4 linked regions of the Saccharomyces cerevisiae S288C genome follow. Changing the gene in region 1 together with any one later gene gives a genetic interaction. Each region holds a gene or a part of one and is shown on either strand. Other genes may lie near its edges.

Region 1 (2,801 bases):
ATAATATGCAAGAAAATAACGAAGTAAGGAACAAGCACAATGGTACGCCCGGTCTTGAAAAAGTTTAAAACAGTACTCGACCCTAGGCGCTAGGGTGGGTGACGCATTTTAACTTTGCAACAGAATGCCATATGCGGTGTTAACCTCACAAGATCGGCTCTACTATCTGCAAGCTGCGGCAAATACCAGAGAAAATTCCATTCCCGTCGACAAAATTTAACCGACCCCCCCCCCCCCCAATTTACGTTTATCAGCTAATCCAAATGTGGAAGGGCAACATTCTCGACGACTCCTTTTTCCGTAATTTAAGTTTGCCCAGGCAAAATCTTATACTTGTTTTCGTAAGAGAAAGATGCGCAGATCCTTTAAGGTTACCTTCAAGCAAATCCAGAAGCACAAATGGCAGGGGAGAAAAGACATGAAGCAGGAGTAGTCAACCGCAAAAACCCCCGCGGGCTTGTTGTTCTGCACATTTTTGATGTGTTTGTTCCTAAGACAAAGTCCTAACTTAGGGTAGTAAGTGACTATATTCTGCACGCTCTTAAAGCAGCCACCTCGTTTAATTTTGCATGCTTATATAAGCTTATAAACGAAGTACCTGAGGACCTGCATCGGCCGGCCCATGTGAAAAGGAAGTATTTACTTTTTCTTCTTCTTTACTATGGAAATAGCTGGAATCCGACTATGCATATGCGTAAGAAAAGAAAATGAAGGAGTTTTCACAGGAAAGCACACTTGCATACTGGGCACAAGTGAGGAGAGGGGCCTGTAATGCTTCTGTGTTTAAAAGACTCCGAAATTAGTCAACGCAGATTTGCAGATGCACGCAAGAATACATAATCAATCACAGTAAGCACATCTCCCCAAGGAAAGAGTAAATGCCTTCGAGCCAGCATTGTGGTCATGCGAGATGTCTAAGAAAAATACTTCGATAAGCACGAGGAAATGTAATATGTCTATCTACCTTATTTTTTTTACAATAAACATATAATAAATCCCTTATCTGGTCACGTGAATTAAACTTCGGGTGTGTTGTAAGAATGGAAGGAGTAAGCGAAACTCAAATTGAGGCCACTTACCACTTCCGGTCGAGCCCGGCCCAGAACCAGTCGTCGGCCAACTTTTTTCTTGGAACAGCGTTACCGCACCTACGCGAGAAATAGTAGATTATAGATAAGAAATACAAGGAGAGGGGTGTGGATGAGCTTTTTTACAAAATAGTGTAAGGCGTCCGGGAAACCCCAAGAACGTTTTTTGACATCCACTAACAGGATTACCCGTCATAGATATACTGGTGCCATTACCCGTTAATGGCATCTTGTATATTTCTTTTATCTTTCTTAACATTCCTGAAAATTGGTAAACAGTAAAAAGAAAAGAAAAAGAAAGAAAAAACATGTATTATTTTGAATTTACTGGAAAATAGGCAACCATTGATTTTCGTTTTTTTATCGTTCTCATCTCTAGCTCTGGTCAGCATTTTTTACTTTATAACAACAAGTTTTTCATTAAAATCCATAGTAGCACAAGGTAAAGGGAAACAAACATGTCATTTCTATGTGGGTCAGCTTCAACGTCAAATAAACCGATCGAAAGAAAGATCGTTATTTTGGGCGACGGTGCCTGTGGTAAAACTTCGTTGCTGAATGTTTTCACCAGAGGTTATTTTCCCGAAGTTTATGAGCCTACTGTTTTTGAAAACTATATCCATGATATTTTCGTTGACAGTAAACATATCACGCTATCGTTGTGGGATACTGCGGGCCAAGAGGAATTTGACAGGTTACGATCCTTGTCTTATTCAGATACGCAATGTATAATGTTATGTTTCAGTATTGATTCACGCGATTCTTTAGAAAATGTCCAAAATAAATGGGTGGGTGAAATCACTGATCATTGTGAAGGCGTCAAGTTAGTCTTAGTTGCACTAAAGTGTGACTTAAGAAACAATGAAAATGAATCTAACGCAATCACACCGAACAATATCCAACAGGATAACAGCGTTTCTAACGACAACGGAAATAACATAAATAGCACCTCAAACGGCAAAAACCTGATAAGTTATGAAGAAGGTCTAGCTATGGCTAAAAAGATCGGTGCGCTACGTTATTTGGAATGTAGCGCTAAGCTGAATAAAGGTGTCAACGAAGCTTTCACAGAAGCCGCAAGAGTTGCTTTAACCGCGGGCCCAGTAGCAACCGAAGTGAAAAGTGACAGTGGATCCAGCTGTACCATTATGTAATATAATAAGACACGGACGCACACACAAAAGAATAGAACCCAAAAAGAGAGACTAAACAAATAATATAATAAGTTATAGAAGTTAATAATACTCCTACTATTTTATATTTTTTATGTAATTACTACCACTGCTTAAAAAAAATATTGCAAAATATCATAAAAGTTTTTACTCATCCTGTTCTTTCCCCTCCAGCATGTGCTCGAGATAAGTCGAAGGTGTAGGTTTTCTTTTGGACTGTACGACCAACAAATTACCCTTACTATGGTTACGATTTACGCTACCATCACTTTCTGGTGAATTAAGCAGCTTTCGACTTGGTGAAGATGCAATTTTTGCGGGTTTCCTTATGTCTTCACCCACCTCCTTTTCATTACCGTTATCGAGCGACGATGCGGATGATGAAGAGATTGTAGACACCAGAGAATTTGTAGATACATTATCACTTGTCATAATCACAGGTTTCTGTAATAATCTAGGGCTTTCTTGGTAAAGTTTAGATAGCCTTGTTTTGTATAAGATATCACCTGTTGGTGAAATGAAAAGTGAATTTCTGTTGGAT
Region 2 (3,406 bases), on another chromosome or scaffold:
AGTCTCCAGCCACTTAAGATCCCCGCTCACGTGATGACCAACAAATGCCCTTGACCATGTCTTGTCTTCTTCGGTCACCGGGACCAAGTAATAGTTTATTAGTGATTGAATGAAATGCACGCACTCTTTCAAGCTCAAAACATAGCTTTCTCCCAATAAGTAGCAATCCTTGTAGTCACAGACCCATTTTTGGTTTCTAAGTTCCAGGGACTCCTCGATAATTAGGTGGTAATTCTTTGTAATTGGAACCATTGACGGCACCATATTTTCCCTGGGGTCATAAATTGAAATCCCAATTTCGGTGATTACGTTCTGGTTTGTTTCGAAAGCCTCTATATCAAGACAAAAGCATATTGCTCTCTGAGAGGCCATCAGCCTGATGCATTTCTCCAGATAAGCAAATTCATTCGAGCGTGAATGTGCTTCCACCATGGGCCAGAACGTCTTCCTCACGCTGTTTTTCTCGTCAGCCAGTAGTTTCTGTTCTGTCTCTAGGAGCTTGATGGTACCATTCATTCCTAACATTTTCTTCTGAATGGCTTCGAACCAAGCGGTGTCGCTCATTCCTTTGGGCTGCGGACAGATACAGTTGGCTCGGTCCTCTTTGGTCAATGGAGACAGCCGCTGTGATCTTTTGGACCTGGGTGGTACGATCGTGTCGCTTAATCTTTTCAAAAACCGGCGTTCTTCCACGAGTTTTTCCAGTTTTGCATGCACATCACCATGTACCATATGCCATTCACTGTCCACCTGCGCCAGTTTGGCTTCCAATTGCGCCCTGGATTGTCCATAGGAGGCATCAAACTTCTGCCTCATCTCCGCCACATATGCATCGATCATGGGCTTCCTTAGTTGGTCCAATTCCTTAGAAAACGCGGTCTTTCTCAACTGTACATAGTAATCTATCTGGTCCAGCCAATTGCACTTAGCACGGTCCCAGGGCGTATTCAATTGGGTCCTGGCATCCAGAAACGCCTCCACACAGCCCGCGATCTTGCCGCTTCCTGTTCGGTCCTTCACTAATCCTCTGACAGAGAGCGTCCCATTACTTAGTTTTGTTGCCAAAGCACCGGTATTACCGCTTCTGGAACGATAACGGGGGCCTGCGCCGTTATTATTCCTCCTCTCCCAATGGACGCTTTTATCGCTACCGTTATTACTGTTATCTCTCACCATTTTTTGAACCTGCATGTGGATCTGGACTCTCGAGCAAGACCCAAGTTCTCATTGCCTCCTTTCCTTCTTCCCTTCTTATATGTTGTCTTGTTGAACCTCAAAACACTAGCGGATAATACGGATTTTGAGGGATGCTCATCGCAAATTTTTCAGAAATGGTGCACGGATGTACCCACGCAATGAAAAATTTTTTTCACTTCTGGTAGGTCAAGAACAAAGAAAGAAAAGTACAAGTGTAAACATTTCTTAACATCTTTTTCGGTTTTATGAAGATCTTTTGGGATCCTAGATCGGTAATAGAACATCAGGATTACTCTGGACCTGCTAACGTGTTTCATCTTCTTTTCACTTCTCTGCCCACGATGTCTGCTGAAACCGCCGCCGCAAACACTGCTACTGCCCCAGTCCCAGAAGTGCAAGAACAAGAGAGCTCCAAGAGCAAGCAAGTCAACTTGACGCCGGCACCATTGCCCACATCTTCCCCATGGAAACTTGCTCCTACTGAGATCCCTGTTTCTACTATCTCAATAGAAGACTTGGATGCCACAAGAAAGAAGAAGAACAGAACACCCACTCCGAAATCATCGACTGCTACCAAGTGGGTTCCCATCAAGGCCTCCATTACCGTCTCTGGCACCAAAAGATCCGGTTCCAAGAATGGTGCAAGTAATGGCAACAGCAACAAGAGCAAAAACAACAAAACTGCAGCATCGTCGACATCGTCGAGTAATGCTAACAGGAAAAAGAAGCATCACCAACATAATGCTAAGAAGCAACAACAAATGAAGAAAGATGGCTTTGAATCGGCAGTAGGTGAGGAAGATTCAAAAGACGCTACCTCTCAAGAAAATGGTCAATCTACACAACAGCAACAACCACCTCACCACCGTAATCATCACCACAGTCATCACCATAACAGCAATGGTCCTCAAAGGAGAAAGTTCCACAACAGTAATAACGCCGGTATGCCTCAGAACCAAGGCTTCCCACCACAGTTTAAACCTTACCAAGGACGCAACGCTCGTAATAACAACAACAACCGCTCTAAATACCACAACCACTTCCATCACAACCAACAACATCCTCAACAACCTATGGTCAAATTACAGCAACAGTTTTATCCAGTCCAACCAGTGTTAATGGCCATCAACAACATTGCTAGACAAATTGAATACTATTTCAGCGAAGAAAACTTGACCGTCGACAATTACTTAAGGTCCAAACTCTCCAAGGATGGTTTTGCTCCATTGTCTTTAATCTCTAAGTTTTACAGAGTTGTTAACATGTCCTTCGGAGGTGACACTAACCTGATTTTAGCCGCATTGAGAGAAATTGTCGCTAACGAAGCCGCTACCGTCAATGTTGCAGAAGGTACTTTGGCCGCCAAGGAAGGTGATAACGTTACCGGTGAAGCCAAAGAACCATCTCCATTGGATAAGTACTTCGTTCGTTCCAAGAGCTGGTCAAACTGGTTACCAGAAACTTTTGAAACTGAAATTAATATTGAAAAAGAACTGGTCGGCGATGCATTGGACCAATTCATGATATCCCTACCACCTGTTCCTCAACAAGAAGAGGAATCATCCACTGAACTCGCTTCTCAAGAACAAGAAACCAAAGAAGACTCTGCGCCGGTTGCTGCCGGTGAATCCGAGTCTTCCTTATAAAGGCCTCTCACACTTGCAAAATAAAAAATGGATTCGTTCATTGCATTTTACACAAAAAACCATAAAAAATTGAAAAACCTAATAATTAAAAAAATTAAAAGTTAATCATCCTCCAGCAAAGCTGTTTTTTTTTTGTTTTTTTTTTTTTTTTTGTTTTTTTATCCATTTTTTTCATTTGTTCCATCAGTTTAATACGAAAGAGAAAATAAAAATAAAAACTTTGAACAATTTTCATGTTTTGAATTCATTGTACATTATCATCATAAGCAATAAGATACAAATATTTATGTTTTTTTTTTTTTGTTTTTTTTTTTTTTTAAGATATAAAAATACTAGCCTCTTCTCACTTCGTTTTCTCTCTGTCTAAGTGGCTACCATCATGAGATATGATATTCTTTCTTCTCCCTGCGCAATTCTTAAACCACCTGCTTTTTTTATTCAATTTTTTGCTAATTTAATAATTGGGAAGAAGATATGAAAAATGCCTATTTTACTCTAAGCAATTCATATGTAAAAAATTTTATGTATAGTTTTTTTTTTCTCTTTTGTGCTGTCAAATTCCT
Region 3 (5,315 bases), on another chromosome or scaffold:
GAGTGTTCTCTTTATTAAAGTACGTTTTACAGGCATACTCAAAAGAAGATTCTATGGAGTAGCCGGGTTTTCATCAGGAGATGAGAGTTCTTTAACCCCAGCACAATCGTAAATTTTTACCTTTTTTTTTTTTGCTTCCTGCTCATTGATACTTTTTCTGATTAAACAAAGCACTCCGAGGAATTTGGACCATCTACACAAAAATGGCTATAAATGAAGGAAAAAGGACAAAAGAAAAAGAGGCACTAATCAAGGCAGAGTATGTATTTAATCCTCCCCTCAATATTAATGTGTAGTGGGTACATAAACAATTAAGGGGACCAAGCATATAACCAGAGCTAAGGTATTACAAAGAAAAGAAAAAAAAAAATTAAGGTTACCAGGTACAACATAAATAAAATTCAAGGAATTACTTTTTGTCGTGCAGCTACCATTTTACTTTGAGTTGTATTTTGTTCAAACTTGTATATGGCTGTTTCTAATATATGGCAATCGTACTCTTCCTCCAATTTACATTGGATTTATCCTCTGTATACCAATAACTGTTCACAAAATGTAAAGTCATCATTTACAGCAGAAATATTATTGAAAAGAAGATGTAATGATATTCAAGATATACTTAATGACAGGATGATTGAATTGTTGCTACAGGGCGCGTGTGACCCAAATAAGCAGCAGAATTACCTTCAGGGGATGAGTCCAAGTAGGAAGAAGAAAACCCACGTTAAGAAATTTTTGAAAAAGCAAAAAAAATCAAGGAAACCAATCACTCTGGAGCATGGTTGCTTGTCAGGACCCGTGACTCTACGTTTCGGAAATTTTGCAGGAATCAGAGATTTGAGAGGTACCAGGTGCCCGCTCCACGGCATAAAACATGGTGTCCATCCAAAACCCGGGGAGAGGTGTGCATGTCAGCAAGCTACCCTCTTTCCAAGTCCACTAGCTCGGTTTAGTTGTGACCAGTCTGCTGTACTTGGTTGCGCTGCCTCCTCCACACGGGTCTATGACAGTATAGCCGATGAGTTTTCATCCCTATATTTTTAAACACAGGAGAAACAATTCCATAAATAAACTTTGTAAGATAACTAAATTATAGGTCCCTTTTCCATGTAGCTTCTCATCGCAAGATGCATAGGGTAGTAAACAAATATTTCGCTAAAAAGGTGATTCTCTAGTCACGTGGTGCCTTTTTTTCCCATCGTTCTAGATCGATGCGGTATGAACGAAGAAGGAGACCTTCTTTTTTTTTTTTAAAAAAAAACAAAACTTATCACAGCCGCTATTCAAAATGCTCAGATTGATGAGGACAAATTCGTCAAGAAAGTAAGGTCTCCCTATTTAGAAGCGTTGAAAAAAGCTGGTTTTAATATTTAGTGTTAGACTAGCCATATTTACTCTTTCCTTTTAAGCGATAGTTAGCCCCACGATAAAACTTAGCAGTTTTTAAAGACAACAGATATTAAAGTTGCTTTTAACACTATTTGCGTAATTCCCTTCTGCTTACACTTTTTTTTAGAGTGGTCAAAAAGACTGTAACTGCTTTTTCAGTTTTAACTTTTCATTTTTAGCCACATATTTATTGAATCATACCAACTTCTCCGCAAAAAATTTGAACATATAAAGATGAGTAATGACAGGGAAGTACCCACACTCTCGCAGCTCAACACAACTGTCAGCAGAGATAAAGACGTATCGGACACTTTGTCACCGGATTTTGACAGCAAAGGAAGTGCAACCGGGCGTGACGGTGGCAATTTCCCAATGTATATTGCCATTAATGAGTATTTTAAGCGAATGGAAGATGAACTAGATATGAAGCCCGGTGACAAGATCAAAGTAATAACTGATGACGAAGAATACAAGGATGGCTGGTATTTTGGTCGAAATCTGAGAACCAATGAGGAAGGTTTATATCCGGTGGTCTTTACTCAAAAGATAACAGTGGAGAAGGCTCCGACATTGATGAGAGCCAAGTCTACCAAAAGGATATATAGTCCATTAACCAATGAAGATCCTCTTCTTTCCAGCACTTTTATCAGTGAAAACGATTCAAACAGTGAACTGCCAACCCCGCAACCAATTGAAACCGCCGCCTCTATTTCGAGAACTGCCAATGGAAAGATCGAAAGAAACTTGTCTTTAAAGAATACAATGAGTGACATAGACAATGCACTACTGGAGTTTAAAGACGACTCTATAGGTCCACCAGATCGTTTCATCAATTCGGGCAGAGACGAGGAACATAGCATTACGCATGAAACAATTCTATCAGCCACTGATGGACTGGATGTAGTCGAATCTAACAGTAAGCCAACAACGAGTAGTTCTACTGGGTTCCTGAACGGAGATTTGGAAAATCAAGCTACTTTAATTAATGGAATTGATACTACTAAATTGAACCCTGTAGAAGCAGAGTTTTGGTCACCCGAAGAAATAACAGCTTATTTTATTATGGAAGGATACGATGTCCAATCTGCCTCTAGATTCCAGAAGCACAAAATATCGGGTAAAATTTTGTTAGAATTAGAGCTTGTTCATTTAAAAGAGTTGGACATAAATTCTTTTGGGACAAGATTTGAGATTTTCAAAGAAATAGAAAAAATCAAAGAGGCTATTAGAACTAATGGCCGCTCCCTGAATAGAGCTAGTAAGACCAATAACGCTAACATTTATAACCAATTGATGCCTCCCGCAAACGTTGACCAGAGAGCTTCCTACAGAGGCCATGTTAGAAAGACTTCACAGTCGTTAGAGGACCTTCCGTCACAACAGAATTTTATCCCCACTCCCAGAAATACTAGGAACTCCTCAGCTTCCAAGCACCGGCCTAAATCTTTAGTTTTTGATTCACAAGAGGCTAATGCTAATATAGCTCCAGATGTTCAAATTCCTCAGGTGGTAGAGGAAATGGCAGGTAATGAAAATTTGTTTGTTTCTCCGAGGAGAGCCCCCAAACCCCCATCTTACCCTAGTCCAGCACAACCTCCAAAATCGCCCCTATTGAATAACACAAGGACGTCACCTTCTCCTGCTCAACTTTATTCATGGCAATCACCTACTTTATCTTTCTCAGGGCCTAAAAGAACTTCTTATATCGATCAATATTCTTCATCAGATTCTAATTTCAATTCCCGTTCCGCACTCCCAAAGAACAACCAAGGCGGTGGGAAGGCGTTGTCACCTATTCCATCCCCCACCCGTAATTCTGTTAGAAATGAAGATAGTGAAGGCAAGCTAACATCGTCTTCGAAGAGGAATTCTGTCCCTTATTATGGATACGCTCCTGAATCTTCTTCGGATAGAAAATCCTCTTGTTCCAGCCATGAGGAAGAGCAGTTTCAAGAAACAATGAACACATTCGAAAGACCCACGTCCAGTATATACGCTGATGGATCTACCATTGCATCCATAAGTAATGACAAATTGGCACATGAGAAGGAGGGGAAGAAAAAACCAACGAGACACTCGTCTTCATTATCTTCTAAATCAAAAAGCGATTCCAGGAGGAACTCGTCTTTAAAGAGAAGCAGCAGTGCATCGCGAACTAGTTCATTCAAAAAAAGTTCCTTCATGCTAAGTCCCTTTAGGCAACAATTTACTGATAATGCTGCTCGCTCTTCAAGTCCTGAAGAGAATCCCATAACCTCAATGCCGTCAGAAAAAAACAGCTCACCGATAGTTGATAAAAAGTCTTCCAAAAAGAGTAGATCTAAAAGAAGATCAGTTAGCGCAAAGGAAGCTGAAATCTTTACCGAAACTGTGAAAGATGATAAAAATAAGAGGTCTGCGAGTGAGGCTATTAAAGGTGAAACGCTCAAGGGCAAAAGCTTGCGTCAAATGACCGCTAGACCTGTAGCCAAGAAAAAGCAAACTTCTGCATTTATAGAAGGTTTAAGGAGTATTAGTGTTAAAGAGGCAATGAAGGATGCTGACTTTTCTGGTTGGATGAGCAAGAAAGGCAGCGGTGCCATGAGTACTTGGAAGACGAGATTTTTCACATTGCATGGTACTAGATTGTCATACTTCAGCTCCACTACGGACACGAGAGAAAGAGGTCTTATCGACATTACTGCTCATCGCGTTGTGCCTGCTAAGGAAGATGATAAACTAGTTTCATTATATGCAGCCAGTACAGGTAAAGGACGGTATTGTTTCAAACTATTACCTCCGCAACCAGGATCAAAGAAAGGTTTGACATTTACACAACCTCGCACGCACTATTTTGCAGTAGATAATAAAGAAGAGATGAGAGGTTGGATGGCTGCACTAATTAAAACCACCATTGATATCGACACATCAGTGCCAATTATCAGTTCCTATACAACACCTACGGTTTCCTTGAGCAAAGCGCAAGAGATGTTAGCAGAAGCGAGAGAAGAGACCAAGCTAAGGGAACAGCAAATGCTAGAGAACGAGGAAGATGAGGACCAGTTTTTATGGGATCAACAGCAGCTTCAACAGCAGCAACATGACAATAATCAAGGGCAAGCTGATCGCACAATATCAGCGTCAACCCAACGAACTTCCGACGAGGATAATACTATATCTACTCCGAATTTGTCCTCTGCTAACAATACAACCATTGGCTCAAATGGATTTTCCAGTCCGTTCTTACTAGCTTCCGGATTGTTATCGCCTGGAGTGGCTCGCAATAGTAGTATGCGTGGAACAGAGAAAAAGGGTAAATTCTCAACGGAAGAGGATTACTTCGGGGATAATTCAAAACATAAAACCGACAAAATATAATTTTAAAGCTATTGAAAAAGATGCGCCTCAAATTTGATGCATAAACTCATTAAGCTATTGTTCTCATGGGCAAAAAAGAATGGAGTTATTTGAAAATGAAAGGATGCCGATGATCCTTTAAATGTTATTCTATATAGTTTTACTTGCGTGAGGTTAGGGATTGGGGTTTGTAACCATATATAATTTACAAGAAAGCTAAACAAAAGATGCCGTTAATCTGTTTAGTGACTTCTGTTTCAAGGCTATTAAAATTTTAGGACCCTTCTAAGAGGTCTCTAATTTGTCGAAATCGCATTCGCGAAAATGGAAAATATATTTCAATTTTTTTTTTTTTTGTTTTACTTTTTTCCACTCTAAGATCTACATTCCAAAGCACCTCGTTCGTTTGCTTCGATGAACAAAGCAACGTATTATTTTTCAAAATTGCATAGTAGTATATCTACGCTTTTTCTTCACTAGACTGCTTCCTCTCCGTTTGAATTTCTTGCATCAGGTACTGAAGCACTAATATAAAGACGTGAACCGAAACGAGAAAAAATGAGAGTAAGACCAAAGAGGTCGGTCATAAC
Region 4 (3,338 bases), on another chromosome or scaffold:
TCACGTCTTCCTCCTTTTTCATGCATTACTACTCACGCATCCTATCACATAATCAATCCTTGCGCTTCAATTTCATTAGATTGAAGAAAATATGAATATAAATTTATTAATCTCCTACTTTATATCGTCTTTCAACGCGGTATTTTTTTAATAATTTCTAGTAAAGTGGTTATTGTCACTAGAAGATAATTAGCTATTAGTTTCATAACAATTTGTTATTTTGAAAATGTATAGTTTTATTAGGTGGTATTCATTTCAAAGAATTAACATGTTTAATGTTTGTTAAATCTATGTAACTAAGTTAAGGTTGGTATTCAAATATATCATAAAAAAATTAATGAGTAGAAAAAAAAATAACTAATCTAATTTTGTTGTTCCTATTTAATGTTCCTCGTTACTTCCAGCTCTCCAGCTCTCAAATTCGAAATGTATGAATTTTTAGAGGATCATCATAATGTGAAAATGGAGATGATTTGGCAAAATGAAATCGGAAAAAGAAAAAATTAATGGGAAGGAACAAGACTTGCTTGGCAATAGTTTAAGAATATAATAATTTTTTTTGGGTTTCTTCAATCAGCTTCGTCTGGATTGACCACTGTTAAAACGTTGTTTTTCCCTCCTGGTCCGCCATTTATGAATGTTCCGTTACTTATTCTCCTTGAGTCGTCGAAAGGGTTAATATCAGTTTGCCCTTTGGTGTGCTCCTCCTCGAAGCTACCTGAAGAGGGCCCGTGATTAGATGAAAATGAAGAGGCGTATAGTTTATCAGGGTACTCAACTGGTTTTATCGCCTCTTGGTATTCCTTTTCCATCCTGTCTTGTTCCCGCTTCATATTAATGTGTCTGACAATCAACAAGATACAAAGAGCAATGGCTACGGCTCCCACTACACCACCTACAACGCCGCCTACAATTGCCCCTACATTGGCTTTCTTTTTATGAGTTTTACTTCCACTCGTAGAGTCAGATCCAGCTGTACCTGTGGCCGATCCTGAATTCTGTGCACTTGCCGTGATGGTGTTCGTGACAAAAATTGTGGAACCGCCCTCAGTGTGAAAAGTAGTGGAATAGATTATCGAAGTGGCGTCCTGTGATTGAGAGCTAGTACTGCTCGTTGCCAAAGTATCCGAAGTTAGCGAGCTTTCTGACGTTACAGTGCTCGAACTCTGTGACGTTGAAATAGAGGCAGCTGCTTGAGTTGACTCGGGGGAATTCTGTACTGTAGAGGAAGACGCCATTGATGATGTAGTTGATGATGTAGTCGATGATGTAGTTGATGTTGTGGAGGACGTTGTTGAAGAAGTTGTGGAAGACGACGCAGAAGTAGACTCCGTACTTGAATCTGAGCTGCTTATGCTATTGCTATTTGTGTCAGAGTCAAGTTGGTACACAGAATAGGCATCTTCACCACCACACATCTCACTGCTGTAACCAAAGCAATACGTATTACATGAAGAGGAAGTAGATTCCGAACCAGATGGATTAGTATCACCACAATAACATTCTGAATGATTATAAAGGGCAAAGTAGCTTGCACCTTTTGCGCTACACTCACTGTTACAGTGTGAACTCGACTGCCAGTTATATGAATCGGCCTTTGAAAAGTCAGAGGGTAGTGAGCTAAAACAATTCACGTATTCATAGGCGTTCGCTTGCGATAAAATGGATAATAACGCCAGAAGCAGACTTGTTTTGTTCGGTCTCATTATTTAAATAGAATTTTTTATCCTGAGTACTAAATCAGCCAACGTACTATCCTGAATAAATGTGATGCAGATTCCTTTTTCTCCTCTTGGTTATCTCTCTTTTTCTCTCTCCTTATTAAAAAATTTACGGACAACGAGGAGCTTCTTTCTTGTTTACCTTGATTACCCTTTAAGCAATAACAATATCAATACGAGATTTTCTGTAATGTTAGTGCCTGGTCGAGTTTACTGTATCGTCCAAGAAAACTACACTGCGTTAAATTCTTCCAAATGAGGCTATGATACGCCAAACACTTTTATTTTTCCCCTCCGTTTCTCTCGCTTTCGCTTCGAAAATTACATTATTTTCTTCCCCATGCAGCGTTATTTCCATCTTCAGAGAGGAAAGGCGGAGAAAATTTTTCTTGAGGAAGGAATTCTACGAAAGTAGTCAACTATATTACTAATCGTTTGACATAGAATGCCAAAGTTGCAGCTTTTCCACTAACGTCAAATTTGCGTAACAAGCGCTGCTGTGTAAACTGTCTTGCTTTTTAATAGGACTGACAAAAATTATAAGCGGAGAGATAATATTTAATACTGCCATTGACCTTAGTACCGGTACAGGACAATATGTTTGTATCCTTGGTGTCATAAAGAAGAGAAAAACAAGATAAGATCTCCACATTATTTTGCAGAAGGCGACTTTGGGGGCCGATGATATCTGCTTCCAGAAGTATGTAAAAAAATTACACACCATTAAGTTCTTATGTAAACCGAAGTCTGGAAGAGAGGTGGTGGAATTTCCAGTCTGCTACTAGGCAAAAAACTTGAAACACTTTCATATATGATGTTGTTTTGCCGAGCTATTACAAGACGATTTATCATAAACTACTTGCTTGAGCAGGAACGATTTCACAATCTGTTTAGCAGGTTGTTATGAAGTAGACACGATAAAGTTCTTGAAGAAAGATTGTGGATGGGTTTGCTGAAGCTTAGAACTAAGAAAAGAAACAAGCACGCGCAAGAAAACCGCTACGGCTAACTTCTAAGGTGAGGATATTGTGATTGTTTATGCCTCATATTTTGCGTTTTTATATGTTCTTCCTTCATACGGCGTGCAAATTATCCGCCGGCGAACAGGGTGCTATTCTAAAAGGAACTTTGAAACTGTAAACGCGGTGTACTGAAGGGGTCATCTGAACGAACAATATTTTATGCTTTTGTTAGCCAAACGGTACTGATAAGGGACTGTGAAAAAAAAAAGACAATGTATGGGGTTCACGGTTTCCCAGATTCGTGTGTGTGTAATAATTCGTTTACGGCGCACGACAGACACTTCAGGAAATTTAAAGATCAGAATAGGCATACACTCCGCGCAAGGAAAACAAAAGTTGCTACCGTAACCGGCTCGTACGGGGAAAGCAAGGTCATCTAGTGCTCACTTACGAACTGGCATAATCGAGTTGTGACTTCCAAACTTAACCGTACTCTCACAGCTGATGTGATCCGAAGAAAACCCTGAAGATACAACAATGGCAACCAAAGGCAACTTAAAAAGGCAAACGAAGTACTTTTCAACAATAGCTTACACTGAAACTCGCGGAGAGGCGACGCTGCGCGCGAATTATCAGTAAAAATCTCGTAACAACC

What was found.
Region 2: of RHO3 (region 1) and SRO9, extra expression of one rescues a mutant of the other (dosage rescue), as found in Saccharomyces cerevisiae (one study listed by BioGRID).
Region 3: of RHO3 (region 1) and BOI2, extra expression of one rescues a mutant of the other (dosage rescue), as found in Saccharomyces cerevisiae (3 studies listed by BioGRID, with this or other methods).
Region 4: of RHO3 (region 1) and SLG1, a mutation in one rescues a mutant of the other (synthetic rescue), as found in Saccharomyces cerevisiae (2 studies listed by BioGRID, with this or other methods).

Annotation. Positions count from the first base shown.
Region 1 is NC_001141.2:138,206-141,006, forward strand, and holds RHO3 (Rho family GTPase RHO3), read left to right. Parts: upstream 1-1,546; coding exon 1,547-2,242; downstream 2,243-2,801. Other genes in the region: pheromone-regulated protein PRM5, read right to left, coding at 2,408-2,801. UniProt on the Saccharomyces cerevisiae protein: Plays an important role in cell growth. Required to keep the uninucleated state. Modulates morphogenesis during bud growth via directing organization of the actin cytoskeleton and the position of the secretory machinery for exocytosis.
Region 2 is NC_001135.5:56,811-60,216, reverse strand, and holds SRO9 (Sro9p), read left to right. Parts: upstream 1-1,538; coding exon 1,539-2,843; downstream 2,844-3,406. Other genes in the region: GFD2 (Gfd2p), read right to left, coding at 1-1,191. UniProt on the Saccharomyces cerevisiae protein: May overlap in function with tropomyosin and may be involved in organization of actin filaments. Acts as a multicopy suppressor of RHO3 mutation. RNA-binding protein which may modulate mRNA translation.
Region 3 is NC_001137.3:390,021-395,335, reverse strand, and holds BOI2 (Boi2p), read left to right. Parts: upstream 1-1,623; coding exon 1,624-4,746; downstream 4,747-5,315. Other genes in the region: SPR6 (Spr6p), read left to right, coding at 469-1,044; TMN3 (Tmn3p), read left to right, coding at 5,284-5,315. UniProt on the Saccharomyces cerevisiae protein: Protein involved in bud formation. Functions redundantly with BOI1 to promote the fusion of secretory vesicles with the plasma membrane at sites of polarized growth. Acts as an abscission inhibitor during cytokinesis in response to chromatin bridges.
Region 4 is NC_001147.6:340,709-344,046, forward strand, and holds SLG1 (Slg1p), read right to left. Parts: upstream 1,707-3,338; coding exon 570-1,706; downstream 1-569. Other genes in the region: YOR008C-A (uncharacterized protein), read right to left, coding at 2,149-2,373. UniProt on the Saccharomyces cerevisiae protein: Plays a role during G1 to regulate entering or exiting the cell cycle. Involved in stress responses. Has a role in cell wall integrity signaling. Activates ROM1 or ROM2 catalyzed guanine nucleotide exchange toward RHO1.